4 linked regions of the Anolis sagrei genome follow. The protein of the gene in region 1 interacts with the protein of each later gene in a pairwise test. Links are inferred from orthologs where the notes say so. Each region holds a gene or a part of one and is shown in the gene's direction. Other genes may lie near its edges. The genes, in order: AIRIM, ZBED1, REL and TRIM54.

Evidence for each region.
Region 2: the proteins of AIRIM (region 1) and ZBED1 interact in binary tests that used the Homo sapiens proteins (3 or more experiments, as listed by UniProt). The two-hybrid records come from large-scale screens. The link is inferred for Anolis sagrei from reciprocal best matches to the Homo sapiens genes AIRIM and ZBED1.
Region 3: the proteins of AIRIM (region 1) and REL interact in binary tests that used the Homo sapiens proteins (3 or more experiments, as listed by UniProt). The two-hybrid records come from large-scale screens. The link is inferred for Anolis sagrei from reciprocal best matches to the Homo sapiens genes AIRIM and REL.
Region 4: the proteins of AIRIM (region 1) and TRIM54 interact in binary tests that used the Homo sapiens proteins (3 or more experiments, as listed by UniProt). The two-hybrid records come from large-scale screens. The link is inferred for Anolis sagrei from reciprocal best matches to the Homo sapiens genes AIRIM and TRIM54.

The regions. Positions count from the first base shown.
Region 1 is NC_090034.1:86,340,274-86,347,253, reverse strand, and holds the start of AIRIM (AFG2-interacting ribosome maturation factor), read left to right. Parts: upstream 1-3,971; 5' UTR 3,972-4,268; coding exon 4,269-4,387; intron 4,388-6,980. UniProt on the Homo sapiens protein: Part of the 55LCC heterohexameric ATPase complex which is chromatin-associated and promotes replisome proteostasis to maintain replication fork progression and genome stability.
Region 2 is NC_090023.1:98,069,337-98,076,890, forward strand, and holds the start of ZBED1 (E3 SUMO-protein ligase ZBED1), read left to right. Parts: upstream 1-4,528; 5' UTR 4,529-4,609; intron 4,610-7,554.
Region 3 is NC_090021.1:12,673,154-12,680,118, reverse strand, and holds the start of REL (proto-oncogene c-Rel), read left to right. Parts: upstream 1-3,938; 5' UTR 3,939-4,187; coding exon 4,188-4,194; intron 4,195-6,965. UniProt on the Homo sapiens protein: Proto-oncogene that may play a role in differentiation and lymphopoiesis.
Region 4 is NC_090021.1:828,763-835,652, reverse strand, and holds the start of TRIM54 (tripartite motif-containing protein 54), read left to right. Parts: upstream 1-3,885; 5' UTR 3,886-3,888; coding exon 3,889-4,350; intron 4,351-6,890. UniProt on the Homo sapiens protein: May bind and stabilize microtubules during myotubes formation.

The DNA.
Region 1 (6,980 bases):
AAATGAAGTTCAGCAGGGACAAATGCAAGATAATCCACTTAGGCAGAACAACTGAAATGCCATGATACAGAATGGGAGATGCCTGATTCTACAGCAGTACATGTAAACAAGATCTTGGAGTCCTCATGGGGAGGAAGGTGAACATGAGCTAACAATGTGATGCGGCGGCAAAGAAACCCAATTGAATTTTGGCCTTCATAAATAGGTGTATACTATCTAGATCCAGGGAAGTCATGCTACCCAACTATTCTGCCTTGGTCAGATCACACCTGGAATCACACTGTGTCAAATTCTGGACACTGTAATTGAAGGGAGATGTCTGGAAAACAAGCCCTATGAGGAGTGGCTTAAAGAGCTGAGCTTGTTTAGCCTGCAGAACACAAGGCTGAGAGGAGACATGATGAAGGGCATGTATAAACATGTGAAGGGAAGTCATAGGAGGGACCAGGCTTGTTTTCTGCTGCCCTGGAAACTAGGACATGGAACAATGGCTTCAAACTACAGGAAAGGAGACTCCACCTGAACATTAGGAAGAACTTCCTAATGGAGAGAGCTGTTCAGTGGAACTCTGCCCTGGAGTGTGATGGAGGCTCCTTCATTGGAGGCTTTGAAACAGGCTGGATGGCCATCTGTCAGGGGGGCTTTAAATGCAATTTTCCTGCTTCTTGGCAGGGAGTTGGACTGGATGGTCCATGAGGTTTCTTCCATGATTCTAGGTGATGAGCACTAGGGTCCCTGAGCCCCCCCTCCCCAGGAGGGAGAGACAGACAGAAAGAAAGAAAGAAAAGAAAAGAAAAGAAAAGAAAAGAAAAGAAAAGAAAAGAAGGGCTGGCCAGGAGTTACTGGTGCCAGGCTCTTGCCCTCTGCCTGGGCCTTGCTGCCAAAGGCCTGTCTTGTTTGGCGTGTTAAGCTCAATCTATGAGTGATGGGAGTTCTCTAAATATCCTAGTGATCTGTTAGTACCGGATTCGAACAGAAATCACAGGCAAGGACGGCAGAAGTTTCTTTCCACATTCAAGAAGTCTTTTATCTTCCAACAATGCATACATGCAAAGCTTTGTATAAAACCAAGTCCTCTCACTTTCTCCCCTCAGCAATCTTCACAGCAGTTCTCTCACGTAGATCTCTCTTATTTTGGAAAACCAGAATCTCCCTGGTTTTCCAACCATTTTAAAAATAACCTTTTGTAAAATTATGATCTTCCAGAGAAGAACAAAAAAATGTATCATTTGAGTAAAATCTTCTCTTGTGTGGGATATAACCACATGTACTTATGCAAAGCATTTTGGTTGTTAGGCTGATAACCTGGTTTTCTTTTATCTGTTAGGAACAGAAGCAACGCCAATGCGTAAAATATAGCCATTCTTCAGAAGTATTTTTTTCAGTGCCTAAAAACATCTACTCTCCCATAAAACATCTTGTTTCGATATCATTCTCTGAAGAGACAAAAATAAAGTGGACTTTGTTAAAAGTAACATTTGGTTTACTCACAACCTTCATGTATTCAGTATATAGGTACATAACTTGTCAAGTTATAGATAGGTTTGAAGTAGTTACTCTGTGCAGATAACACAGGGCATCTTTCTTACAATCAACAACATGAGTTGTCTCTTAACAGTCCAAAGTCAAGCAGGTAAGAGGTAGTCTTAACAGTCTGAGAGTGTAATGGAGTCTGAGGTCTGAGCAGTCTCAGAACTGATCATGTGGTCCCACAACCTCAAGAAACAGAGTAAAGGGAAAGCTGCATACCAAAACATACATATACAACACAGTAAGCAAATGGAAACCTATACAAACAAATTACTAGTGGAGGCTTGAAGGTTATTTCCAACGTCTTTGTAACATTCAGCAACACCAGCATAAACACTCATCCACAGTCATCATGCTAGCTGCCCCACTGTTATCCTAGATCTGGCCAATCACATATTGTATTGCATCATACATGGTGTCCCAACAGTGCACCGTGGTTGCACCAGACATTAGGCATTGCACACTGGTTTCATCATCCTCGGAAACTTGTCATTCTGACTCTGCAGTTAGCTCCTGAGGGTTTTGTGTGTGTGTGTTTGTGTGTGTGTCAGGAGTGAATAGAGAAACTGCAAGTCGCTTCTGGTGTGAGAGAATTGGCCGTCTGCAAGGTCATTGCCCAGGGGATGTCCGAATGTTTGATGCTTTACCATCCTTGTGGAAGGCTTCTCTCATGTCCCGCATGGGGAGCTGGAGCTGACAGAGGGAGCCCAACCTGCTCTCCCCAGATTCGAACCTCTGACCTATTGGTCAGCAGTCCTGCCAGTACAAGGGTTTAACCCATTGCGTCACCTGAGCTCTTTCTTTCTGAGTATGATGACATAGGGTTGCTGTGAGCTTTCCAGGCTGTATGGCCATGTTCCAGATGCATTCTCTCCTAACGTTTCACCCACATCTACGGCAGACATCCTCAGAGGTCATGATGTCAGTTGGAAACTAGACAAGCGAGATTTATAGATCTGTGGAATGCCCAGGGTGGGAGAAAGAACTCTTGTCTGCTTGAGGCAAGTGTGAATTTTATTGCCATTGGCCACCTTGATTAGCATTGAATGGCCTTGCAGCTTCAAAGCCTGGCTGGTTGCTGCCTGGGGATCCTTTGTTGGGAGGTGTTAGCTGGCCCTGATTGATTCTTATCTGGAATTCCTCTGTTTTTTTGAGTGTTGCTCTTCATTTACTGTCCTGATTTTAGAGTTTTTTAAATACTGGTAGCCAGACTTTGTTTATTTTCATGGTTTCCTCCTTTCTGTTGAAATTGTCCACATGCTTGTGAATTTCAACTCAAAATACATATTAATTTTATTTATTTATTTGCGACATTTATATGCCACCCTTCTCACCCCGAAGGGGACTCAGAGCGGCTTACACATTATTTGTACATATAATATATTATATTATTAGCATAGCACATTATTAGTATTATGTATTTCCATATTGTACTATACAACTACATTTATTTATTTATTTCTCGCACTTCTACCCCGCCCTTCTCAACCCCCGAGGGGGGACTCAGGGCGGCTTACAAAAAGGCACAATTCGATGCCGGCACAACAACAAGGTAAAAAATAAAACATAAACAGTAATTAAAACAATTAAAACAATCCATTATACATCACAATCCCTAAAAACAATCTAGTGCTCAACGTTTACCAGCTCATAGTCCATAAATTCAAATTCCACATTGTCCAATCCAGCAATTCTAGTTGTTGCTTGCCCCTTATCTATCCGCCAGATAACCCGAAGGCCTGGTCCCAAATCCATGTTTTTAATTTCCTTCTAAAGACGAGGAGGGATGTCAATGACCTAATTTTTCCGGGGAGTGAGTTTCACAGGTGAGGGGCCACCACCGAGAAGGCCCTGCTCCTCATCCCCACCAATTTCTCTTGTGATAGAGGTGGGGCCGAGAGCAGCACCTCCCCAGAAGATCTTAAACTCCGAGGCGGGACGTAGAAGGAGAGGCGTTCGGACAGATACGCTGGGCCGGAACCATATAGGGTTTTGTAGGTCAAAACCAGCACTTTGAATTGTGCTCGGAATTGGATCAACATTGTAATATCATTAGTAATATTACATGTTATATATATATATGTAATTATTAAATTTAATTATTAGTATTATATTATATTATAATATTATCAATATTATATGTGTATACAATATATTAGCACAGCACAATATCAGTATTATATATTACTATATTGTACTATACCACTATACTGTAAAATTATTAGTAATATTACTTGTAATATAAATATATAATTATTATATTGCATTATTATTAGTATTATGTTGCATTACATTATAATATTATCAATATTATATGTGTATAATATACTTTATTTTCATTTCAAATCCTGACCTGTCTTCCCAGTGGGACTCTGCAGGTGCCCAGCTTGGCCCAGGTAAGGGCAGGGGATGCTTAGAAGTGCACTATCTGGCTTCCTCAGGCCTGCCTTTCCATTGGACTTGAAGGCTCTTTCCACAAATGGGACAACGCTGACATTCCCACTTGTCTTCTCACATTTGCAGCCTAGGATGCTCCATGAAATGGGATTGGCTGATTTTTATTTTTTTGCAAAGGTGTTCAAATCTGGTTCAGGAAGCTGCAGGGAGAGACAAGAGAATACAGCTTTCCTGCCCTTTGCCTGAATGGAAGAACAATGTTGGATCCAAGCTTTTGAAGTTCAAGCAATGTGGATTCTTTATGAGCCTGGCCACAGAGAGAAGGGAGTCCCCGCCTGCAGATGCCTGTGACGTCACTCCAGGGCAAGCCACGCCCATCGGAGGAGGCGGGAGGGCGGTGGGACTCCATTTCCCGTCAGGCCCCGGGGCGGCTAGAGGAAGGGAAGAAGGCGGAAGGCAGGTGAGTTAGTCAAGGGAGCCTATCTAGGCACATTATTTGCTTTGAAATTGATTATAAGGCAATGTAGCCCAGGTATGGGTAAACTTGGGCCCTCCAGGTGTTTTGGACTCCAACTCCCACCATTCCCAACAGCCTCAGGCCCCTTACTTTTCCCTCTCAGTTCTTCAAATGTTTTGGACTCCAACTCCCACCATTCCCAACAGCCTCAGGCCCCTTCCTTTCCCCCCTCAGCTCTTCAAGTGTTTTGGACTCCAACTCCCACCATTCCCAACAGCCTCAGGCCCCTTACTTTTCCCTCTCAGTTCTTCAAATGTTTTGGACTCCAACTCCCACCATTCCCAACAGCCTCAGGCCCCTTCCTTTCCCCCCTCAGCTCTTCAAGTGTTTTGGACTCCAACTCCCACCATTCCCAACAGCCTCAGGCCCCTTACTTTTCCCTCTCAGTTCTTCAAATGTTTTGGACTCCAACTCCCACCATTCCCAACAGCCTCAGGCCCCTTCGTTTCCCCCCTCAGCTCTTCAAGTGTTTTGGACTCCAACTCCCACCATTCCCAACAGCCTCAGGCCCCTTACTTTCTCCTCTCAGCTCTTCAAGTGTTTTGGACTCCAACTCCCACCATTCCCAACAGCCTCAGGCCCCTTCCTTTCCCCCCTCAGCTCTTCAAGTGTTTTGGACTCCAACTCCCACCATTCCCAACAGCCTCAGGCCCATTACTTTCCCCTCTCAGCTCTTCAAGTGTTTTGGACTCCAACTCCCACCATTCCCAACAGCCTCAGGCTCCTTCCTTTCCCCCCTCAGCTCTTCAAGTGTTTTGGGCTCCAACTCCCACCATTCCCAACAGCCTCAGGCCCCTTACTTTCCCCTCTCAGCTCTTCAAGTGTTTTGGACTCCAACTCCCACCATTCCCAACAGCCTCAGGCCCCTTACTTTCCCCTCTCAGCTCTTCAAGTGTTTTGGACTCCAACTCCCACCATTCCCAACAGCCTCAGGCCCCTTCCTTTCCCCCCTCAGCTCTTCAAGTGTTTTGGACTCCAACTCCCACCATTCCCAACAGCCTCAGGCCCCTTACTTTCCCCTCTCAGCTCTTCAAGTGTTTTGGACTCCAACTCCCACCATTCCCAACAGCCTCAGGCCCCTTCCTTTCCCCCCTCAGCTCTTCAAGTGTTTTGGACTTCAACTCCCACCATTCCTAACAGCCTCAGGTTCTTTCCTTAAGTGGCTGGGGGGGAAAGGGGCCTGAGGCTGTTAGGAATGGTGGGAGTTGGAGTCCAAAACACCAAGGGCCCAAGTTTACCCATACCTGGTCTACACTGCCTTATAATCCAATTTAAAGCAAATAATTGGATTTTATATGGCAGTGTAGAAGGGGCCTCTGCTGTACTTTTCCAATAAAGATGTAATAAAAATTGAAATATTGTCTATTTCTGCTTCAAAAGTGGTATTTCCTGTTTCATTATGCGATCATTATTTTCAAAGGAGTTCTACTCCAGAAACATCATTTTTGTGGCTGCCAGGACTTTAAGATCGTCCGGGGAGGCCCTGCTCTCCATCCCGCCTGCGTCACAAACACGTTTGGTGGGGACGAGAGACAGGGCCTTCTCAGTGGTGGCCCCTCGGCTATAGAACGCCCTTCTTGGGACATTAGATCGGCCCCCTCTCTCTTAACATTTTGGAAAAGTGTCCAGACTTGGTTGTTTGAGCAAGCATTTGAAAATGCAAGGTAAAAGACATAAGAATTAGAATGACTGGACGACGAGATTGGACAGTGATTTTATTAGGAGACGCAAATGATCTATGTTTTTAATACTCTTGTTATAGTTTTATATTATGTGTTAATGTTTTTAAATGTTTTATGGTGTTTTGTGCATTGAATTGTTGCCACTGTAAACCTCCCTGAGTTGCCTGAGGGTTGAGAAGGGCGGTATACGAATACAGCAAATAAATAAATAAATAGGTTGAAATTGGTTGAGACTCTTATGATGAGATAGTCACTGAAAAACTGAAAATTGTGTTACATAGTGTCCTAATTTGGTTTACAGTAGAGTCTCGCTTATCCAGTCTTCGCTTATCCAACATTCTGTATTATCCAACGCAGTCTGCCTCCCGCCCGGAATAATGTCCAGGGTGGGAGAAAAAAAGAACCCTTGTCTGTTTGGGTACTAAATTTGTAAATACAGTAATTACTGCATAATGTTACTCTGTATTGAACTGCTTTTTCTGTTGATTTGTTGTAAAACATGATGTTTTGGTGCATCATTTGTAAAATCATAATGTAATTTGACATTTAATAGACTTTTCCTTAATCCCTCCTTATTATCCAACATTTTCGCTTATCCAACGTTTTGCCAGCCCATTTATGTTGGATAAGCAAGACTCTACTGTATTATCTGTCTCTCCTTTTAATCCAAGGCGGGGCACAACACAGGCAGATCTATCAAATCCCATATTGAAACATAGTTAAAATGCAGCTACAAAAGCATATATTAAAACATAAAAGGTAAAGGTTTCCCCTTGACATTAAATCTAGTCGAGTCCAACTCTGGAGCATGGTGCTTATCTTCATTTCTAAGCCGAAGAGCTGGCGTTGTCTGT
Region 2 (7,554 bases), on another chromosome or scaffold:
AGTGAATGATGCGGTGTACGAACTCTCTTAGGCTCCATCTACACTGCCATATAAAATCCAGATTCTCTGCTTTGAACTGGATTATATGGCATTGTAGAAGGGGCCTAAGTATTCAAAGGGATCTTGTAGCACCTTAGAATCATTAAGCTTATTCTACCAACTTCATTACCTCAAACTTTAAGTTGTTACAAGATCATTTTGCATATGGCTATTCCAGACTGACATGGCTGTTTCTGAATTCCCTCATCACCATTTCCCCTCAGCCCCCTTTTGCCAAAAAGTTTTTTTCCTTGCTTCCCTTGCCCCCAAAAGCCCATTTCCCTTGTCTCCCTCCCTTTGTCTTGTTCTCTTCCAAGCACTATTTCCCTCCCACCGCTCAGGAGGTGCTTTGTTATGTTTTCCCTCCATGGCAGAAGGAAGTTGGACTGAATGGCCCCTGGGGTCTTCCATAGAAATGCTTTAGGGGGCATGCTTGTCAAGTTTCCAGATTACACCAAATTAGGAGGGATACCAAATATTGCAGAGGACAGGATCAGAATTCAAAATGACCTTAAGAGATTAGAGAGCTGGGACAAAACTAACAAAAATGAATTTTAGCAAGAATAAATGTAGAATTCTACACGTTGGCAGAAAACAATGAAATGCACTAATACAGGATGGGCTGATGCCTGGCTGAATAACAATACCAGTGAAAAAGATTTTGGAGTCTTTGGGGACAACAAGTTGAATATGTGGAAACAGTGTGATGCAGCAATTTAATAAGACAGTGGGATTTGGGGTTGCATGAAAATAAGTATCATGTCTAGATCAGGCATGAGCAAACTTGGGCCCTCTGGGTGTTTTGGACTCAACTCCAGCTGTTAGGAATTATGGGAGTTGAAATCCAAAACACCCAAAGGGGCCAAGTTTGCCTATGCCTGGTCTAGATCAAGGAAAGCAATTGTGCCCATCTATTCTGCTTTGGCCAGGCCTCACCTGACATAATGTGTCCAATTCTGGGCACCACAGCCATGTAACCTCTAGTGACGGAGCTCTCCCAAGCTATGTACTTGCTTCTTATAGATGTGCAAACCTACCCAGAGTAGGTACACATAGCTTGCACAATTAGCAGCTCTCAGCATCCTCATACACCCTGGCTTTTTGGGTGATTAGATGGTGGAAACTGTGATTAAACACATCAGGAAGACATCCGATTGGAAAGGATGGAAAAGCTGTGCTTCACAGGAAAATATGGTATTACTTAATCATGATGCTTCAGAATTGCAGTATATTTCAGATTTGCATGTGTATGGCCTTCTATCCTTTGTATAGCTGCATTAAGACATAATCAATTGGAAGGGAAGACAGGTAGCAGTTCATGACCTTTTAGAAAATCAGGTGCTAGTAGCTTGTACCGGCCTTCCAGGCCCCTTTAGCTCATAGCTGACATTTACTGTTTGCTCAAACAGCCTTCCAAAAACATCCTAGGCTGGAGTGATGTTTGCAAAACAAAAAAAATGTGTGAGAGCCAACAGGCTTACCTTCTCAGTGAGATCTCGCTGCACATTTGATATATTTGCACATTCATAACTGCTTTCTTTAAATAGGAATTTTCAGCAAAGAGGAGAAATGAAACAGTTAGGTAAACAGTTATTGTTTCTTATAACTGTTTACCAATTATAGCAGCTAGTGAGTTCATTTATATCAAGACTGGGCAACTGATGTATTTTTAACGTACACCTCACAAAACCCGAAAGTGAGGACTGTGGGCTTTTGAGGTTTGAATTTCCATAAACTTGCAATGTTTGTGGCACGTGGGCATTGTTACACCCCTCCAATTATTCCTATCATCCCCCCCCCCCCCCGCACAGATTTATAAAACACAGTATGTATATGCACCCATAACCATTGGCTCAGCCAGACTTCTAGGAATTAATAAAATCCTTTCCTGCTTTGAGTAAGTTTGATTGAAAATGTGAGATGCTTAATTTGGGCCTTAGACCACCATTGTTATAACATACATACATATATATATATATATTCTCTCTCTCTCAACACATATGAAGAGACAAACAATGATACATTCACTCTGGACAAGTCACCTCTTATGTATTCTTTGCCTATTAAACCCATGGAGTGGCTATACATTTGTGGTCATCACTTGTCATCTGCTTTCTTTGTTTCCCTCCTTAGTAGTGTGATGGTCAACATTTAATTCTCTACTTCTTTATTTTTAATGTTAACTAATTTTTAAAAAACCCAAATTCTTTCTATGTAAAGACTAACAATGCATTGCCCAATCACATAGCAATGAGCTCCCTTCTCCTCAAATAGGACACTTCTGACTAGACATGAATAAGTACACCTCTCTCACTTGAATGGGAAATCTGTGTCTGTAAAACCATTCTCCCCAAATATGGCTTTACAGTGTTTTGGACTTCAGCTCCCAGAATCCCTGATCATTGGCCAAAGCAGCCAAAATTGATGTCCAATACACTTGGGAATGCATTGTGATGGCTGTGACCTCCTGTTAACTGATCTCCTTTCAAACCTAAAAACCTGGCTGTTTAGTGTGCCTTAGAGGAATGAATACAACCTACACCATGACCAGCTCAGCACAATATTCCCTGTGATGCACTTTACCTCACCCTTCAATGATAATCACCCCATTGCTGCTCTCACCTGAACCCCCCCCCCCCCCGCCCCGCTAACTAGGCATACTACCCTACTCATCCATCTCACCCAGGGTTTTTTATATTTTAATTCTATCTTTTTAACTTGGCCCAGCCCTCTGTGCACATTATTATTTTATTTCATTTCCTGTATTTGGTTTTGTATTAATTTGCTTTGTTTATATTTCATTTGATGTTATTATTTGCTGTATGTATTTTATTTTGATTTGTTGTAATGGCTGGGCTTGGCTTCATGTTAGCCGCCCTGACTCCCCGTTGGGGAGATGGTGGCGGGGTAGAAATAAATTATTATTATTTTATAATCACACAAAATCAGTAATGCAGAAATTAGCACAGTGGCAGAGTTTTTATGCAGTAGCTCCAATTATGCACCAGTAGAAGTGTCAGTTTCTTTCTGGTGCTTACAGGTGCATCTACAGTGTAGAATGAATGCAGTTTGACACCACTGCAACTGCTATGGCTCAATGCTATGGTATCAAGAAAGTTGTAGTTTCGCAAGGTCTTTAGCGTTCTCTGCCAGAGTTGGTGTTTCACCCACTTGTAAATCCCAGAATTTCGAAACAGTTAAAGTGGTACACACTGCATGAATGAATTGATGTGTAGTGTAGGTGTACCCTAAGTTTGGCATGCCTTTTTACTAAACCCTGTTAACCTTTCCTTATGCTATCCAAAACTTACACACACACCCCACACGGGTGTTAACCCTTTCCTATGCTATCCAAAGCTTATACACACACACACACACACACACAAACATCTCAAGGATGTTAACCCTTCCTTATGCTATCCAAAGCTTATACACACACACCATAGGGGTGTTAACCCTTTCCTATGCTATCCAAAGCTACACACATACATATATATTCATACATACACGTATATAAATGCACACACAAACATCACAAGGGTGTTAACCTTTCCTTATGCTATCCAAAACTTACATACACCCACCCACAGGGGTGTTAATCCTTTCCTATGCAATCCAAAGCTTGCTTTTATACACACAGAGACATACATGCTTTTATACACACAGAGACATAAATACACACCCTCGGGGGGGGGGGAGGGGGGGAGGGGAAATCCATCCCTAGATAGATGGAAGAGTTAACACGCCTGTGGTGTTCATAGGGAAGTGTTAACACCCCTGTGGGGTTTTTTTTTTGTTGTGTGTGCGCCTGTTCAGAAGATTTCACCTCACTTTCTGTCCCTGTGATAATTGGATTTAGAAAAAAAAAGGCTTCTGAAACAAGGATCGGTGAGCAAGCTTCAGCCGAGGCCCCCTTTCCCCCCGATAACTCTTTGAGGAGTGAATTTCCCTCCCTGGGGGTAGATTTCTCTCCCTTCCTGTTGTCTCGCCCCTTATTAACGCTGAGCTGTTTGGATGTCGGATGTTTGTAACTCGGGGACTGCCTGTAGGTGTTTCAATAAACAAACACATGATTTCAAGCAGAAGCTGGTGCATAATTAGAGCTGCTGCTGTGCCAAAAATCGAACTCTGTCGCTGCACATCTTCTGCTTTACTTCCCTTTTCTGTGCGTCTTCCGTGGGAGGGGAGGAGATTGCGCACAGAGTCTGCACATGCCCAGATAGCAGGGAAATCCCGGTCGCTCCGAGGAGGAGGAGGAGGAGAGGCGCGGTCCTCTTTGCCTTGCCTTGCCTTGCTTTGCTTCCTCTGGGCGCGGCGAGGCCAGGGCTGCCAGGCGCGCGCTCTGAAGCCCCGGAGGCGTGCCGTCCTCGCGCCGCCTCCTCCTCCTCCTCGTCGTGCCTCTGGGCTCCTTTCCCTTCTGCAGCACGGAAGAGGCGAAGCAAAGCAGCAGCGGGAGCCATGTCGCTATTGTCCCTGGCCTTGCCTGCCTTCTGGCTCTACTGGACCGCGACGCGCCTCGTCCTGCACCAGATCTTGCGCCGCTTCCGCCTGGGCTGCCCTTCCAAAGCAGGTTAGGAGGCTCCCCCGGAGAGGCTGGGAGGGAGAGGCCTTGGCTTAGGAGAGGGAAGCCTCGCTGGCTTCGCTTTCTTCCCCTCCCCACGCGTCCTTCCACCGTTGGGAGCCAAAGTTGAGCATTTGCGCTCGGAGGGAGAGGACAGAGGACACTCCTCCTCGCAAATGGAGGGGATCCGCTTCCCTCTTCCTGCCTAGATCTTGTGGCAGGAGCCAGGCGAGGCCAAAGGGCTCCAAGCTCCTGCCCAAGGCTCTGGCTCCTGGTTACTGGGGGCCCTTCCACACAGCCCTATATCCCAGAATACCAAGGCAGTTCACCCTCAGATAATGTGGGATTTCCTGCCTTGATATTCTGGGATATAGGGCTGTGTGGAAGGGCCCTGGGACTCTTCAGTTGCAGTGCCTTCGCTGGCTGTTTGTAGCCACCGATTTTCAACCCTGGGATACAACCGCAACCTCTATCGGTCCCCTGAGGTTGTTGCATTTGCCAGTCTGCTGCCCCTAGCTTACACTTCAGTTGTAGCTTGGTGGACATACAGTGAATGTAGCAAAACAAAAAGTTTTCAAGCTACATCCAAGTTTCTTGTAACTGCCATGGTTATTGCTGTTTGTGTGCCTCCAAGTCATTTTTGACCAATGGAAAAACTAAGCAGATGGGAGCTTGTATTGTCGAAGGCTTTCATGGCCGGAATCACTCAGTTCTTGTGGGTTTTTTCGGGCTATATGGCCATGTTCTAGAGGCATTTCTCCTGACGTTTCGCCTGCATCTATGGCAAGCTTCCTCAGAGGTCATAGATGGGAGCTTGTTCTTGGGGATTTGCCCATGTTTTCCTCTGAGGTTAAGAGCATGTGACTTGCCTAAGGGCACCTAGTGGGTTTCCATGACTGAGGAGGGAGTTACAACCTTAGTTCAATATTCAAACAACTGCACCAGAGCTTTCCGATATTATGTTGGTGACGCACTACATGCATCGCTTTGCGACACAGTGCTTCAGTTTTACTAGCAAACCAGAGGTTAACCCAAGCATGGGCAAACTTCAGCACCAGCTGTTCTGAATTGTGGGTGTTGAAGTCCAAAACACCTGGAAGGCCGAAGTGTGCCCATGCCTGGGTTAAACCAAGAGATCGGAACACGTACATAAATTATAATAATGAAATGTATGGGGACATGACTTATCATGAAAATCTTGCTCATATATATATATGATTTATTGATTATTTCACATGGACTCACCTTTCTTGTTTCATTCACTTTACACACCTACACGCTACAGCCAACATTCCAATGTGTCACGACACACCATTTGGAAGGCTCAGCACTATACCATGCTGGGTTATCACATGCCTTCAAGCAGACTGGCTTATGGTGACCCTATTATAGGTTTTTCTTTTGCTTTGCAGGGCATTGCTTTCCTTTGAGGTTGAAAGAGTATGACTTACCTAAGGTCACCCTATAGGTTTCCATGGTTGAGCTTTGGTCTCCTGGTGTCCTGCTCTAGCATTCAAATCCTGATACTACTTTGGTTCCCTTGGGTACCTGTCTATTGAAGAGTGATCCAGTAATCTCACTAGGCCTTATTACTCTAAAGAAAATGCTATCTATGTTTGTCACTTTTTTCATGTCAGGAGCAACTTGAGAAACTCCAAGTCACTTCTGGTGTGAAAGAATTGGCTGCCTGCAAGGACGTTGCCCAGGAGACACCTGGATGTTTTGATGTTTTACCATCCTTGTGGGAGGCTTTTCTCATGTCCCCACATAGGGAGCTGGAGCTAACAGAGAGAGTTCTCCCCAGATTTGAACCTCTAACCTGTTGGTCTTCTGTCCTGCTGACACAAGGGTTTAACCCATTGTGCCACCAGGGGCTCCATGTTTGTCGCTAACCATACCTATATATAGTTGGCCCTCTATATCCATAGATTCTGCATCCGCAATTGAACCATCCACAGATTTTTTTTTAAAAAAAAAAATCCAAAAATCAAATTGTGATTTTGCTGTTGCATATAAGGGACAATATTTTAATACACGATTATATATAATGAGCTTCTATGGATTTTTGTATCCACAAGGGTTCTTGGAACGCCAGCAGATACCAAGGACCCACTGTATGCACTTTCACCTTTGACATCATTGAAAAGTCTGTCAATTGCATTCGTGGACATTGATTGTTTGATTGTGTGTGTGTGTAATAAGTTTTTAAATAGCAGGTATTAGTGACAGATTGTGGTTTCCATGCTATTAGCTTCCAAGACATTTGCCAGAAGTAAAATAGGCAAGAGTTGTAACCTGGTGAAAGATTGCTTTTTGCAAAAGCAAGGATATCACTGTACTCCTCCGCTTAATATGGAAAGCTGAAATTGAAGCTTTCCACTCCAGTGCTTTAATATTAGGTTGGGTGGAGATGGGGTGTGTGAAGAAAGAATATATGCTGTTTTCAGTCCCTTGGAGGGAATTGGAAAATAAATGTAAGACATAATCTTTTGGAGTTGGTGAGAAGTTCAAGGTAAACATCTACACTCAGTTACTAAGGAATTGGAATAGAATCAGACACTTGGTTGGAAGAAATTGTATTAATCTCATAGGAATAATAAAGAGCCAGTGTAGTAATTTGAATGCTAGAATTATGGCACTGAAGACCTGAGTTTACTCATAGAAATCTGTGGGTTGATTTTTGGTAACTCTAAAACTCAGAGATAGGCAAAAGCAGAGTCACCATAAGTTGGAAATGACTTGAAGTTACATAGGAACAACAAGGCAGTGGTTGCATTGTCTGTGTAACTGTGGTTCTGGTCAAAGTTGCACAACAAGAACAAGATAGGAAAAGCTTAACAAATAATCTAGCCTGGTCCCAATATATCAAATCCTACAGGAAACTGAATGGCTACTTAGGGACTACATGGCTACTTAGGGACCTTCTAGACAGGCTCTATATTCCAGGATCTGAT
Region 3 (6,965 bases), on another chromosome or scaffold:
CCCAGGAACAAAAATTGTGTTATTAAATGCTACCTCAGCCCTTTGGATGTTGTAAAACACTCTTATGTTTTAGTGCCTTCTTGGTTTAATTCACTCTATTTTATCATAAGTGTGATATGTTATGTTACGTTTTATCTGCGTCTTAATTTTTGTTATATTTTGGTTAGTCTTAAATAGTCTTGTAAGTTTATTTCAAGGTTGTCTTATTTATTGTATTTTTACTCTATGTAATATTTAATGACAGGGGCCACGATGGTGCAATGGGTTAAATAATTGAGCTGCTGAACTTGTTGTCCAGAAGGTTGGCAGTTCAAGTCCATGGGTGGGGTGAGCTCCTGCTGTTAGCCTCAGCTCCTGCAACCTAACAGTTCGAAAACATGCAAATGTGAGTAGATTAATACTCCCAACTATGAATAGATTAATAGGTACCTCTCCGGCAGGAAAGTAATGGCGTTCCATGCAGTCATGCCGGCGACATTGAAATGGCAGGGAAACAGGTTTTGAGGAAAGGAGAGATAATTACCAAGAGACATCCTTTCTGGAGATAGAAAAGAACGACTTTATTTCCAGCTGGTGACTCTGGTATGGACTCATGTCCCAAAAGTAAAACCCAGAGCCCCGATCAAGGTGCGGACTGCCCTTTTATAGTCTCCAATCCTCATCAACATGACCTTGGAGACGTCTATGGACAACGCCAGCTCTTTGGCTTAGAAATGGAGATGAGCACCACCCTCCAGTGTCATGGCGTTATGAAGGTTGAGAAACCCTGCTTTAGGGCTTTGTAGGCTAAAGCCAAAACTGGCAGCCAGTGGAGCCGACGTAACCAGTGAGTAATCTGGCTGCTGGCCGTTGGACCAATTGAAGCTTCCGAACAGTCTTTAAAGGCAATCCCACATAGAGAGCATCGCGGTAGTCCATATATTTCCTTTTTCCGATTGACTGAATAGAACTATGAATCTGAAGCTAAAAGACAGAGTCACCCTTGAATTTCAGGCAAAGGCAAATTGTGAAATCCATAATTGCTTGAAGAATGTTTATGAGGACACTGTAATGGACATCAGCAATGTGCGGCATTGGGTGAAGAACCATATGTCCATTTATAACGTTTTTGACACAAGAGGCAAAACATTTTGACCCACCCCCGTATTTATTTAAGTTCAAATTTTGGTTATTTTTTTGGTTGTTTTGTCATTTAGTGTGGAGATTATTTTATCTATTGTTTGATTTGCTTTGTGTTTGTTTTCGGCACTGGATGTTTGCCGTTTTGTTACTTTGCTGGAAACCGCTCTGAGATAGGGAGTGTTATAAATACAGTATTATTATTATTATTATTATTATTATTATTATTATTAATTATTTGATACATAACAATATTAGTACACAGCAAACAAGATCACTATGTTGGCTTTTGTATTTGATCACACGTCCAACACTTCCCAAATGTCTAGGACTGTGTGATGTATAGGCGAATAATGCGTTCAGATCCAAGTAGGATGGCCTCTTGCAGATGATAGATGGTAATTTTGTCAGCACCTATTGTCTTCAAGTGCTGGCCAAGGTCTTTAGGCACTGCACCCAGTGTGGCGATCACCACTGGGAACACCTTGATTGGCTTGGGCCAGTGTCGTTACAGTTCAATCTTTAAATCCTCATATTATTGTTGTTGTTGTTGTTGTTATTATTATTATTATTAGCTTGTTTTGGCATTGAATTTTTGCCTTATTAAGCATTATGGGCAAAGACTTTCATGGCCGGAATCAATGAGTTGTTGTGTATTTTCTGGGCTGTATGGCCATAATTCCAGAAGCATTCCCTCCTGATGTTTCGCCTGCATCAATGGCAGGCATCCTCAGAGGTTGTGAGGTCTGTTGGAAACTAGGAAAATGGGGTTTATATATTTGTGGAATGATGTCCAGGGTGGGAAAAAAAACTCTTGTCTGTTTGAGGTAGGTGTGAATGTTGCAATTGGCTGTCTTGATTATCATTTAATAGCCTTGCAGCTTCAAGGTCTGGCTCTTACTGCCTGGGGGAATCCTTTGTTGAGAGGTGATGAACTCTCTTATTGTTATTACGGAATCCTGGAAGTTGCAGTTTGGTGAGGTATTTGGGGGAACTCTTTTTCTGTTGGAGGTAGGTGTGAATGTTTCAATTGGCCACCTTGGTTAGCATTTAATGGCCTTGCAGCTTCGAGGCCTGGCTTCTTACTGCCTGGGGGAATCCTTTGTTGAGAGGCGTTATTATGGAATCCTGGAAGTTGCAGTTTGGTGAGGCATTTGGGAGAAAGAACTCTTGTCTGTTGGAGGTAGGTGTGAATATTTCAACTGGCCACCTTGATTAGCATTTAATGGCCTTGCAGTTTCAGGGTCTGGCTTCTTACAGCCTGGAGGAATCCTTCGTTGAGAGGCGATGTGCTGTCTTATTGTTATTACGGAACCCTGGAAGTTGCAGTTTGGCGAGGCATTTTGGAGAACTCTTGTCTGTTGGAGGTAGGTGTGAATGTTTCAATTGGCCATCTTGATTAGCACTTAATGGCATTGTAGCTTCAAGGTCTGGCTTCTTACTGCCCGGGAGAATCCTTTGTTGAGAGGTGTTATTACGGAATCCTGGAAGTTGCAGTTTGGTGAGGCATTTGGGAGAACTCTTTGTTTGTTGGAGGTAGGTCTGAATGTTTCAACTGGCTACCTTAATTAGCACTTAATGGCCTTGCAGCTTCAAGATCTGGCTTCTTACTGCCTGGGGGAATCCTTCGTTGAGAGGCGATGAGCTCTCTTACTGTTATTACGGAATACTGGAAGTTGCAGTTTGGTGAGGTATTTGGAGGAACTCTTTGTCTGTTGGAGGTAGGTGTGAATGTTTCAATTGGCCACCATGATCAGCATTTAATGGCCTTGCAGTTTCAGGGTCTGGCTTCTTACTGCCTGGAGGAATCCTTTGTTGAGAGGCATTATTACAGAATCCTGGAAGTTGCAATTTGGTGGGGCATTTGGGAGAAAGAACTCTTTGTCTGTTGGAGATAGGCGTGAATGTTTCAATTGGCCACCTTGATTAGCATTCAATGGCCTTGCAGTTTCTTACTGCCTGGGGGAATCCTTTGTTGAGAGGCATTATTATGGAATCCTGGAAGTTGCAATTTGGTGAGGCATTTGGGAGAACTCTTTGTCAACCAGGCACATCTTAACACCTCTCAACGAAAGATTTTCCCAGGCCCAGGCAGGCCTTCAAATGCTAATGAAGGTGGTCAGTTGAAACATTCACACCTAGCTCTAGCAGAGAAGAGCTCTTTGCCCCACCCCAGCCATTCCACAGATATATAAACCCATTGTCCTATTTCCAACAGACCTCACTACCTCTGAGGATGCTTGCCATAGATGCAGGTGAAACGTCAGGAGAAATGTCTCTAGAACATGGCCCTATAGCCCAAAAAACCCCACAAGAACCTAACTCTTTGTCTATTGAAGATAGGTGTGAATGTTTCAATTGGCCACCTTGATTAGCATTCAATGGCCTTGCAGTTTCTTACTGCCTGGGGGAATCCTTTGTTGAGAGGCTCAAGAAGACTATGGTAAAACTATAACTCCCAGCCTCCCACAGCAGCAAGCAACTGGCAAATGCAAGTGGTCTGGAGCTGAATCCTTTCTCGAGTGGAGATGCACCAAAAGAAAAGAAGTTGGGTGAAGTTTGAGAAGGTGGGAGAGTGGTGGGCGCGCCTTTGAAGAGGGGGCTCCCCAAACCTGACCTTAAACCCTCAAAGGTTAGAATGCCCTCCCCCCCTTTTTTTGGAGGGGAGTGTGGCTTGGTGTGACGGGGAGTCACGCTCTCTCAGCCCCTCCTACTCCTCTCTTGCCTCTCTCTCTCTGTGCGCCTTATCTCCTCCTTGGCGCACCGGGGTTTTGGTGGTGGGAGGTGGGAGGGGAGACCCACGAAGAAGACGTCACGAGGAGGACGTCACAGGGTGGAAATTCCCCGCCGGATTGTAGGGGGAGCGGGGCGGAGGCTTCGAGGAGGAGGGAGGTCTCCAGCCAGCGCCGCCTCCCAAGGAGGGAGCCTCAAAACCTGCCCCAACCAGGAGGCACTCTTGCCCAGGAAGGAAGACACTCAGAAGGACCAGCTGGATCCCAGGAGAGGCACCCCAAGCCGGGCAAAGAGCTCTTCCCCTTCTCCACCGGGTCCAGGGAGGACAAGCCACCATGGCAGGTAAGCAGGAGGGAGATCTAGTCTTACCCAGTGGAGGGAACTGCATCCAAACTCATAGGAATCCAAAGGTAAAGGTCCTCCCAGGTTGGAATCTTCTCTCTTGGAGGTCCCAACACAGTGACACTATCTATGGCAGGTCTGGGCAAACTTCTGCCCTTCCAGGTGTTTGGACTTCAACTCCCACAATTCCTAACAGCCGGTAGGCTGTTAGGAATTGTGGGAGTTGAAGTCCAAATCACCTGGAAGGGCAGAACTTTGCCCAGGCCTGATCTATACTGAGTTGAAATCCAAAACACTTGGAGGACCAGAGTTTGCCCATTCCTGATCTATGGAGTCATGGAAGATTAATTTCCAAAGGTCTTTAGACTTCCCTAATTTCTCTAAATTAGACTTCCCTAGTTATAATAATAATAATAATAATGAACTGCAAAGACTCTGGCACAAGCCAGTCAAGGTGGTCCCAGTGGTGATCGGCACACTGGGTGCAGTGCCTAATGACCTTGGCCTGCACTTAAACACAATCGGCACTGACAAAATTACCATCTGCCAGCTGCAAAAGGCCACCTTACTGGGATCTGCACACATTATTTGCCGATACATCACACAGTCCTAGACACTTGGGAAGCGTCCGACGTGTGATCCAATACAACAGCCAGCAGAGTGTCTGCTGTGGACTCATCTTGTTGTGTTTCAAATAATAATAATAGGGTTGTTGTAGGTTTTTCGGGCTGTACGGCCATGTTCTAGAAGCATTATCTCCTGATGTTTTGCCTGCATCTATGGCAAGCACCCTAATTGAAAAACTAGAGAAAAATGAGCTATGGCAGGATGGCACCTCTTGCAAAAACAAACTTTAAGAAACTTCCCCCATGTTTTTATGAAAGAACCAATTAGGAAACAACAGTGATAACCCAGGAACAAGACGTAATTATAGTTGTTATTGGGTTGTTGTGAGTTTTCTGGAATGTATGGCCTTGTTCCAGAAGCATTCTCTCCTGACGTTTTGCCTGCATGTATGGCAGGCAGATATATAAACCCCACTTTCCTAGTTCCCAGCAGACCTCACAACCTCTTGAGAATATATAACCTCTGTGAATATATATATGACAGATATATAAACCTCACTTTCCTAGTTCCAACAGACCTCACAACCTCTGAGGATATATATATGGCAGATACATAAACCCAACTTTCCTAGTTTCAAACAGACCTCACAACCTCTGAGGATGCCTGCCATAGATGCAGGCAAAATGTCAGGAGAGACTGCTTCTAGAACATGGCTATACAACCTGAAAAACCTACAACAACCCAATGATTCCGGCCATACAATAATAGCCTTCGACAATACAATAATAATAGGTTTTTCCATGATATTAAGTCCAGTTGCATCTGACTCTGAGGGTTGGTGCTCACCCCCATTTCTAAGCCAAAGAGCCGGCATTGTCCGTAGACACCTCCAAGGTCATGTGGCCGATATGGCTGCATGGAGCGCCGTTACCTTCCTGCCAGAATGGTATCTATTGATCTATTCACATTTGCATGTGAACTGCTAGGTTGGCAGAAGCTGTGGCTGACAACGGGAGCTCACTCTGCTCCCTGGATTCGAACCTGTGACCTTTTGGCCAACAAGTTCAGCAGCTCAGTGCTTTAACCCACTGCGCCACCTGTGGCTCCAATAACAACAACAACAACAACAATAATAATAATAATAATAACTATTATTAACCAATTAACTGTAATGACCAATTCGGAAATGATATTGATAATCCAGGAACAAAAAATGTGTTACGTAGTATAATAATACTAGTATGTTGTCGAAGGCTTGCATGGCTGGAATCACTGGATTGTTGTGAGTTTTCTAGGCTGTATGGCTATGTTACAGAAGCATTCTCTCCTGACATTTTGCCTGCATCTATGGCAGGCATCCTCAGAGGTTGTGAGGTCTATTGGAAACTAGGAAAGTGGGGCTTATGTATCTGCCATACACACACACACACACACCCTAAGGGGTTGCGAGTTCTGTTGGAATTAGGAACGTGAGGTTTATATATATCTGCCATATATATACCCTCAGAGGTTGTGATGTCTCATGGAAACTAGGAAAGTGGGGTTTATATATATCTGCCTGCCATAGATGCAGGCAAAACATCAGGAGAGAATGCTTCTGGAACATGGCCATGCAGCCCAGAAAACTCACAACAACCCAATAATAATAATAATAATAATTATTATTATTATTATTATTATTATATGCAACATGATATCTTGTTCCTGGGTTATCAATATTGTTTCCTAATTGGTTCTATCATAAAAAGATGGGGAAAGATTCTTAAAGTTTGTTTTTGTGGGAGGGACATCCTGCAATAGCTCATTTTTCTCTAGTTTTTCAATTAGTATCTTCATTGAGTCTCAACCAATTCAACATACTTTGTGGCAGCCACAAAAACCAAGTTTCTGGAGTATAGCAACTACTTTCAAAGTTAGTGCTGCACAACGAAACAGGAAATAACACTTTCAAACCAGGAACAGAAACTTTTTCAACTTTTGTTACATAGTGTCGTTGTTGTTGTTACAGTAGAGTCTGGCTTATCCAACATAAACGGGCCGGCAGAACTTTGGATAAGCGAAAATGTTGGATAATAAGGAGGGATTAAGGAAAAGCCTATTAAACATCAACTTATGCTATGATTTTACAAATTAAGCACCAAAACATTATGTTTTACAACAAATTGACAGAAAAAGCAGTTCAATACATGGTAATGTTATGTAGT
Region 4 (6,890 bases), on another chromosome or scaffold:
TATATGGCCATGTTCTTCCAAACTACAGGAAAGGAGATTCCTCCTGAAAATTAGGAAGAACTTCCTGACTGTGAGAGCTGTTCAGCAGTGGAACTCTCTGTCCTGGAGTGTGGTGGAGGGTTTGAAGCAGAGGCTGGATGGCTATCTGTTGGGGGTGCTTTAAATGCAAATTTCCTGCTTCTTGTCAGAATGAGGTTGGACTGGATGGCCCACGAGGTCTCTTCCAACTCTATGATTCTAGCAGCATTTTCTCTTGACATTTTGGCTGCACCTCAGGCCCTTTCCTCAGGCTGTATGGCCATGCTCTAGCAGCATTTTCTCCTGACATTTTGGCTGCACCTCAGGCCCTTTCCTTTTCCCCCTCAGCCGCTTAAGCGGCTGAGGGGGAAAAGGAAGGGGCCTGAGGTGCAGCCAAAATGTCAGGAGAAAATGCTGCTAGAGCATGGCCATACAGCCCAGCAGCCGGACCCCTGGACGCTGCAGGACGTGAGGGGAAAAGCAAGGAGGCCATTGTGTCCTGACAGAGGAAAGGGGGAGGGGTAAAGTGACCCCCCCCCCCTCCATTCACCTGGAAAGAATCCTCTGGCTATTTATTGTTGTCTCTCTCCTGCTGCCCGGCCTTTTTCGGTGCTGCGGTCACTTTGGCGGCTGGTGCTATTTTGGAATGAAGGAAGCCATGCTGGCCAGCCCCCCCCCCCAAAAAAAATTCACATTGGTCAACAAAGCCCACGTCTGCGTTTCTGGCAGTGCTCAGGACCCCCTGCATTTCATGCCAAGAGTTTCTCAACCTGGGGGTGTCAGAGGGGTCACCAAAGACCATCAGAAAACACAGTATTTTCTGTTGGTCATGGGGGTTCTGTGTGGGAAGTTTGGTCCAATTCTATCATTTGTGAGGTTCAGAATGCTTTTTGATTGTAGGTGAACTATAAATCCCAGCAACTACAACTCCCAAATGGCAATGTCTATTTTCCCCAAACTCCGGCAGTGTTCACATTTGGACATATTGAGTATTCGTGCCAAGTTTGGTCCAGATCCATCACTGTTTGAGTCCACAGTGCTCTCTGGATGTAGGTGAACTACAACTCCCAAACTCAAGGTCAGTGCCAACCAAACTCTTCCAGGATTTTCTGTTTGGTCATGGGAGTTCTGTCTACCAAGTTTGGTTCAATTCCATTGCTGGTGGAGTTCAGAATGCTCTGTGATTGTAGGTGAACTATAAATCCCAGCAATTACAACTCCCAAATGTCAAGGTCTATTTTCCCCAAACTCCACCAGTGCTCACATTTGGGCATATTGAGTATTCGTGCCAAGTTTGGTCCAGATCCATCACTGTTTGAGTCCACAGTGCTCTCTGGATGTAGGTGAACTACAACTCCAAAACCAAAGGACACTGCCCACCAAACTCTTCCAGTATTTTCAGTTGGTCATGGGGGTTCTGTGTGCCAAGTTTGGTTCAATTCCATCATTGATGGAGTTCAGAATGCTCTTTGATTGTAGGTGAACTATAAATCCCAGCAACTACAACTCCGAAATGACAAAATCAATTTTTTGAGTGAAGGACATACATTGGGTTATTAGGTGTCTTGTGTCTAAATTTGATGTCAATTCGTCCAGTGGTTTTTGAGTTCTGTTAATCCCACAAACGAACATTACATTAAAGCCCAACTGCTCATTGGAGGGAAGGATAGTAGAGGCCAAGATGGCCTCATCATGAGAAGAAAGGAAAGCTTGGAGAAGACAATGATGCTGGGGAAAATGGAAAGAAAAGGGAAGAGCGGCCGACCAAGAGCAAGGTGGAGGGATGGCATCCCTGAAGTGACTGGATTGACCTTGAAGGAGCTGGGGGTGGTGACGGCTGACAGGGAGCTCTGGCATGGGGTGGTCCATGAAGTCAGCTACAGAAGGCAATGATGCTGGGGAAAATGGAAGGAAAAAGGAAGAGGGGCCGACCAAGGGCACAGTGGGTGGATGGCGTCCTTGAAGGGACAGGATTGACCTTGAAGGAGCTGGGGGTGGTGACGGCCGACAGGGAGCTCTGGCATGGGGTGGTCCATGAGGTCACCTAGAGAAGACAATGATGCTGGGGAAAATGGAAGGAAAAAGGAAGAGGGGCCAACCAAGGGCAAGATGGATGGATGGATGGCATCCTTGACGGGACTGGCTTGACCTTGAAGGGGCTGGGGTGGTGACGGCCGACAGGGAGCTCTGGCATGGGCTGGTCCAGGAGGTCACCTAGAGAAGACAATGATGTTTGGGAAAATGGAAGGAAAAAGGAAGAGGGGCCAACCAAGGGCACGGTGGGTGGATGGCGTCCTTGAAGTGACTGGATTGACCTTGAAGGAGCTGGGGGTGGTGACGGCCGACAGGGAGCTCTGGCGTGGGCTGGTCCAGGAGGTCACGAAGAGTCGGAGACGACTGAACGAATGAACAACAACAATCACCACCACCAGCATCCATCCCCAGGAGCAGAATTCAAAGGGATCTCCAGATGTTGGGCCAAAATTAACACCGTGAAGTTCAACAGGGACACACGCAAGAGACTCCACGTAAGCAGAAAAAAGGAAACGCAAAGAGACAGAATGGAGGACGATGATGCAGTGCGTGGGGAAAGATCTGGGAGTCCTCGAGAGGAAGGAGAACATGAGCCAGATGTTGTAGGTCTTCTGAATGAGCACAGACTACATTGTCATCAGCATATTGGAATTCTGTAACAGATGTTGTAGGTCTTCTTCTGAAGGTGCACAGACAACGTTATCATCAGCATATTGGAGTTCTATAACAGATGTTGTATATCTTCTGAATGCACACAGTCTACATTTTCATCAGCATATTGGAAGTCTGTAACAGATGTTGTAGGTCTTCTTCTTCTCGAGTTATGCTCATTTTTTTTGGAAGTATTGACACACCAAGCTCAAAAGGTTGCCCATCATTGTTGTAGGTCTTCTTCTGAATGCGCACAGACTACATTGTCATCAGCATATTGGAAGTCTGTAACATATGTTGTAGGTCTTCCGAATGAGCACAGTCTACATTTTCATCAGCATATTGCAGTTCTATAACAGATGTTGTAGGTCTTCTTCTGAATGCGCACAGACTACATTGTCATCAGCATATTGGAATTCTGTAACAGATTTTGTAGGTCTTCTGAATGCGCACAGACTACATTATCATCAGCATATTGGAGTTCTATAAAAGATGTTGTATATCTTCTGAATGCACACAGTCTACATTTTCATCAGCATATTGGAATTCTATAACAGATGTTGTAGGTCTTCTTCTGAATAAGCATAGACTGCATTGTCATCAGCATATTGGAGTTCTATAACAGATGTTGTATATCTTCTGAATGCACACAGTCTACATTTTCATCAGCATATTGGAATTCTGTAGCAGATGATGTAGGTCTTCTTCCGAATGAGCACAGACAACATTGTCATCAGCATATTGGAATTCTGTAACAGATGTTGTATATCTTCTGAATGAGGACAGTCTACATTGTCATCAGCATATTGGAATTCTGTAACAGATGTTGTATATCTTCTGAATGAGGACAGTCTACATTGTCATCAGCATATTGGAATTCTGTAACAGATGTTGTAGGTCTTCTTCTGAATGCGCAGAGACAACGTTGTCATCAGCATATTGGAGTTCTAAAACTCTTGGACTAAAAACTCCTCCTCTGGACTATGAATCTATTAGAGTTAGTGCTGTGTGCCAGAGGCGGGAAGGGGGTTCAGTGAGGTCTCCCCCTCTGGGGTGTTTCCAGCAGAGGCTGGATGTCCATCTGTTGGGGGTGCTTTGACTGTGCTTTTCCTGCATGGCAGAGGGTTGGCCTAGATCCCCATGAGGAGAGGCCTAGGATTCCATGGCCCTATTAATAGAAAGCACATGTTGATGATTATGATGATTGGTGGGTGGGGGTCTGCACCAGAGGGGTGTCGTCGTCACGCTCCCCTTGAGGCGAGTGACTCAGCGCCACCTGATGCCGCCGACAGCTGGACCCTCGGTGCCCCACCCTTCCTGGATGACCTCGAGCAGGAATGGGAGCCTGGCATGCCTTGGGGGTCACGTGGGAGGCTAAAAATACCCCCCAGAGAAGGGCCAGAGGAGAAGAAGGAGAGTGGAGGGAGACCCTTCTCGTCCTCCTTCTCGTCCTTCTGCTTCTGCTTTGGGATGAACTTCCCGGGGGGCTTCAAGTCCTTGACCGGGGGGAGCCCCTCGGGCCAGAGCATGGACAGCCTGGAGAAGCAGCTCATCTGCCCCATCTGCCTGGAGATGTTCTCCAAGCCTGTGGTCATCTTGCCCTGCCAGCACAACCTCTGCCGAAAGTGCGCCAACGACGTCTTCCAGGTGCGGTCAAGGGGTCAGTGGTCAAGGGAACACCCCCCAAATGTTTAGGGTCTTAACTGGGTTTAAGGCAGGCCTGGGCCAACTTCGGCCCTCCCTCCAGGTGTTTTGGACTCCAACTCCCACCATTCCTAACAGCCTACCGGCTGTTAGGAATGGTGGGAGTTGGAGTCCAAAACACCTGGAGGGAAGGCCGAAGTTGGCCCAGACCTGCCTTAAGGCTTTTCCTTGTTCAATGTATTGTCGAAGGCTTTCATGGCTGGAATCACTGGGTTGTTGTAGGTTTTTCTGGGCTATATGGCCATGTTCTGGAGGCAATTTTTCTCCTGACGTTTTGCCTGCATCTATGGCAAGCATCCTCAGAGGTAGTGAGGTCTGTTGGAACTAGGAAAATAGGTTTATATATCTGTGGAATAATGTCCAGGGTGGGACAAAGGACTCTTGTCTGCTGGAGCTAGGTGGGAATGTTTCAGCTGATCACCTTGATTTGCATTCAATGGCTTGGAAGCGCCTGGGGGGAACCTTTTGTTGAGAGTGATTTTATGTGCCTGGTTGTTTCTCGTGGCTTGACTCTCATGGCTTCTTCTCGGTGGTCTTGCAGCTCTTCTGATGTCTGTGGTGGAGTATGCTGCACCTCTCAACAGGAGATTTCCCAGGCTCAGGCAGGCCTTCAAATGCTAATGAAGCAGAGAGGAAACAACCAGGCACAGCTTAACACCTCTCAGCAGGAGATTTTTCCCAGGCTCAGGCTCATTAGCATTTCACCTTCAAATGCTAATGAAGGTGAAACATTCACACCTAGCTCTAGCAAGGAAGAGCTCCTTGCCCCACCCCAGCCATTCCACAGATATATAAACCCATTGTCCTATTTCCAACAGACCTCACTCCCTCTGAGGATGCTTGCCATAGATGCAGGCGAAACGTCAGGAGAGAATGCCTCTAGAACATGGCCATATAGCCCGAAAAAACCTACAAGAACCTTGTGATTCCGGCCATGAAAGCCTTCGACAATACAATGAAGATGATGATGAGGATGATGATGATGATGACCCCGCCCTCCCCTGAATCGACGCCCTCCACCTTTATCTGGCCTATTTATTATTTTTTGAAACACAACAAGACGAGTACACAGTAAACAAGATCACTTTGCTGGTCTCTGTATGCAAGGCACACAGAGGCTATTTAACATTCCAGCTTTTTCATGATGGTATTCTGGCCACCAGGGGAGCTGTTGCTTCACCGTCCATTTGTGACACTGATGGAGTACTTCCTCATTCTTTGCATGCTTGCTGGAGATTTTTATGGAGTCGTAAATTAGTTAAGTTAGCCTCCCCGCACAATCTGAGGATGCTTGCCAAAGATGCAGGCGAAACATTAAATCCAGTCGTGCCTGACTCTGGGACTCTGGTGCTCATCTCCATTTCTAAGCTGAAGAGCCGACGTTGTCTGCAGACACCTCCAAAGCCACTGGCAGGACTGCCCTTACCTTCTCGCCAGAGCGGTACCTATTGTTCGACTCACATTTGTATGTTTTCAAATTGCTAGGCTGGCAGAAGCTGGGGCTAACAGTGGGAGCTCACCCCAGCCCCCAGATTCAAAGCTGTGACCTTTCGATCAGCATGTTCAGCAGCTCAGCGGTTTAACCGTCTGCACCACAAGGGGGGATCCCTTCTATGATTCTATGGTTCATCAAAGCCCAGGCAAACTCTATGAAAAGACCCTCACTGACTGACTTTCCCAACTTCCTGGCTGCTCAGTGCTATTCAGGCTGGCTAATTGCAACATCCACGCTTGCTTCTTTCTCTTGCCATGAACATCATTCCACAAATAGATATACACCCCACTTGCCTCACTTCCAACAAACTTTTGAAGATGCCATGAGCCACAGGTGCAGGCGAAACATCAGGAGAGAATCCTATTGTTACATATGGTGTGATCCATAATACCCCCAAGCACAGCAGTTTCTGGCGTGGAGAGGGAGTCCCCTAAGCAGAGGCCAGGTGGATGGCCGTCTGTTGGGGGGGATCGGGTGGTGTCACCTTTGAAGATGCCATGAGCCACAGGTGCAGGTGAAACATCAGGAGAGCATCCTATTGTTACATATCGTGCGATCCATAATACCCCCAAGCACAGCAGTTCCTGGCGTGGAGAGGGAGTCCCCTAAGCAGAGGCCAGGTGGATGGCCGTCTGTTGGGATGGTTCGGGTGGTGTCACCTTTGAAGATGCCATGAGCCACAGGTGCAGGTGAAACATCAGGAGAGCATCCTATTGTTACATATTGTGCGATCCATAATACCCCCAAGCACAGCAGTTCCTGGCATGGAGAGGGATTCCCCTAAGCAGAGGCCAGGTGGATGGCCGTCTGTTGGGGGGGATCAGGTGGTGTCCCTTCCAAGGCTAGGGCTCTAGTCAAGGGGCAGCTCAGCAACCCTCTTGGTCCGCCTGTCTTGCCAAGGAGCACCTTGTTTAGAACCCTAGTGTTACACTAGCCTTGCAAGGGACTCCACCCGATCCCTCCCGACAGAGGGCCAGCCCCTTTTCCC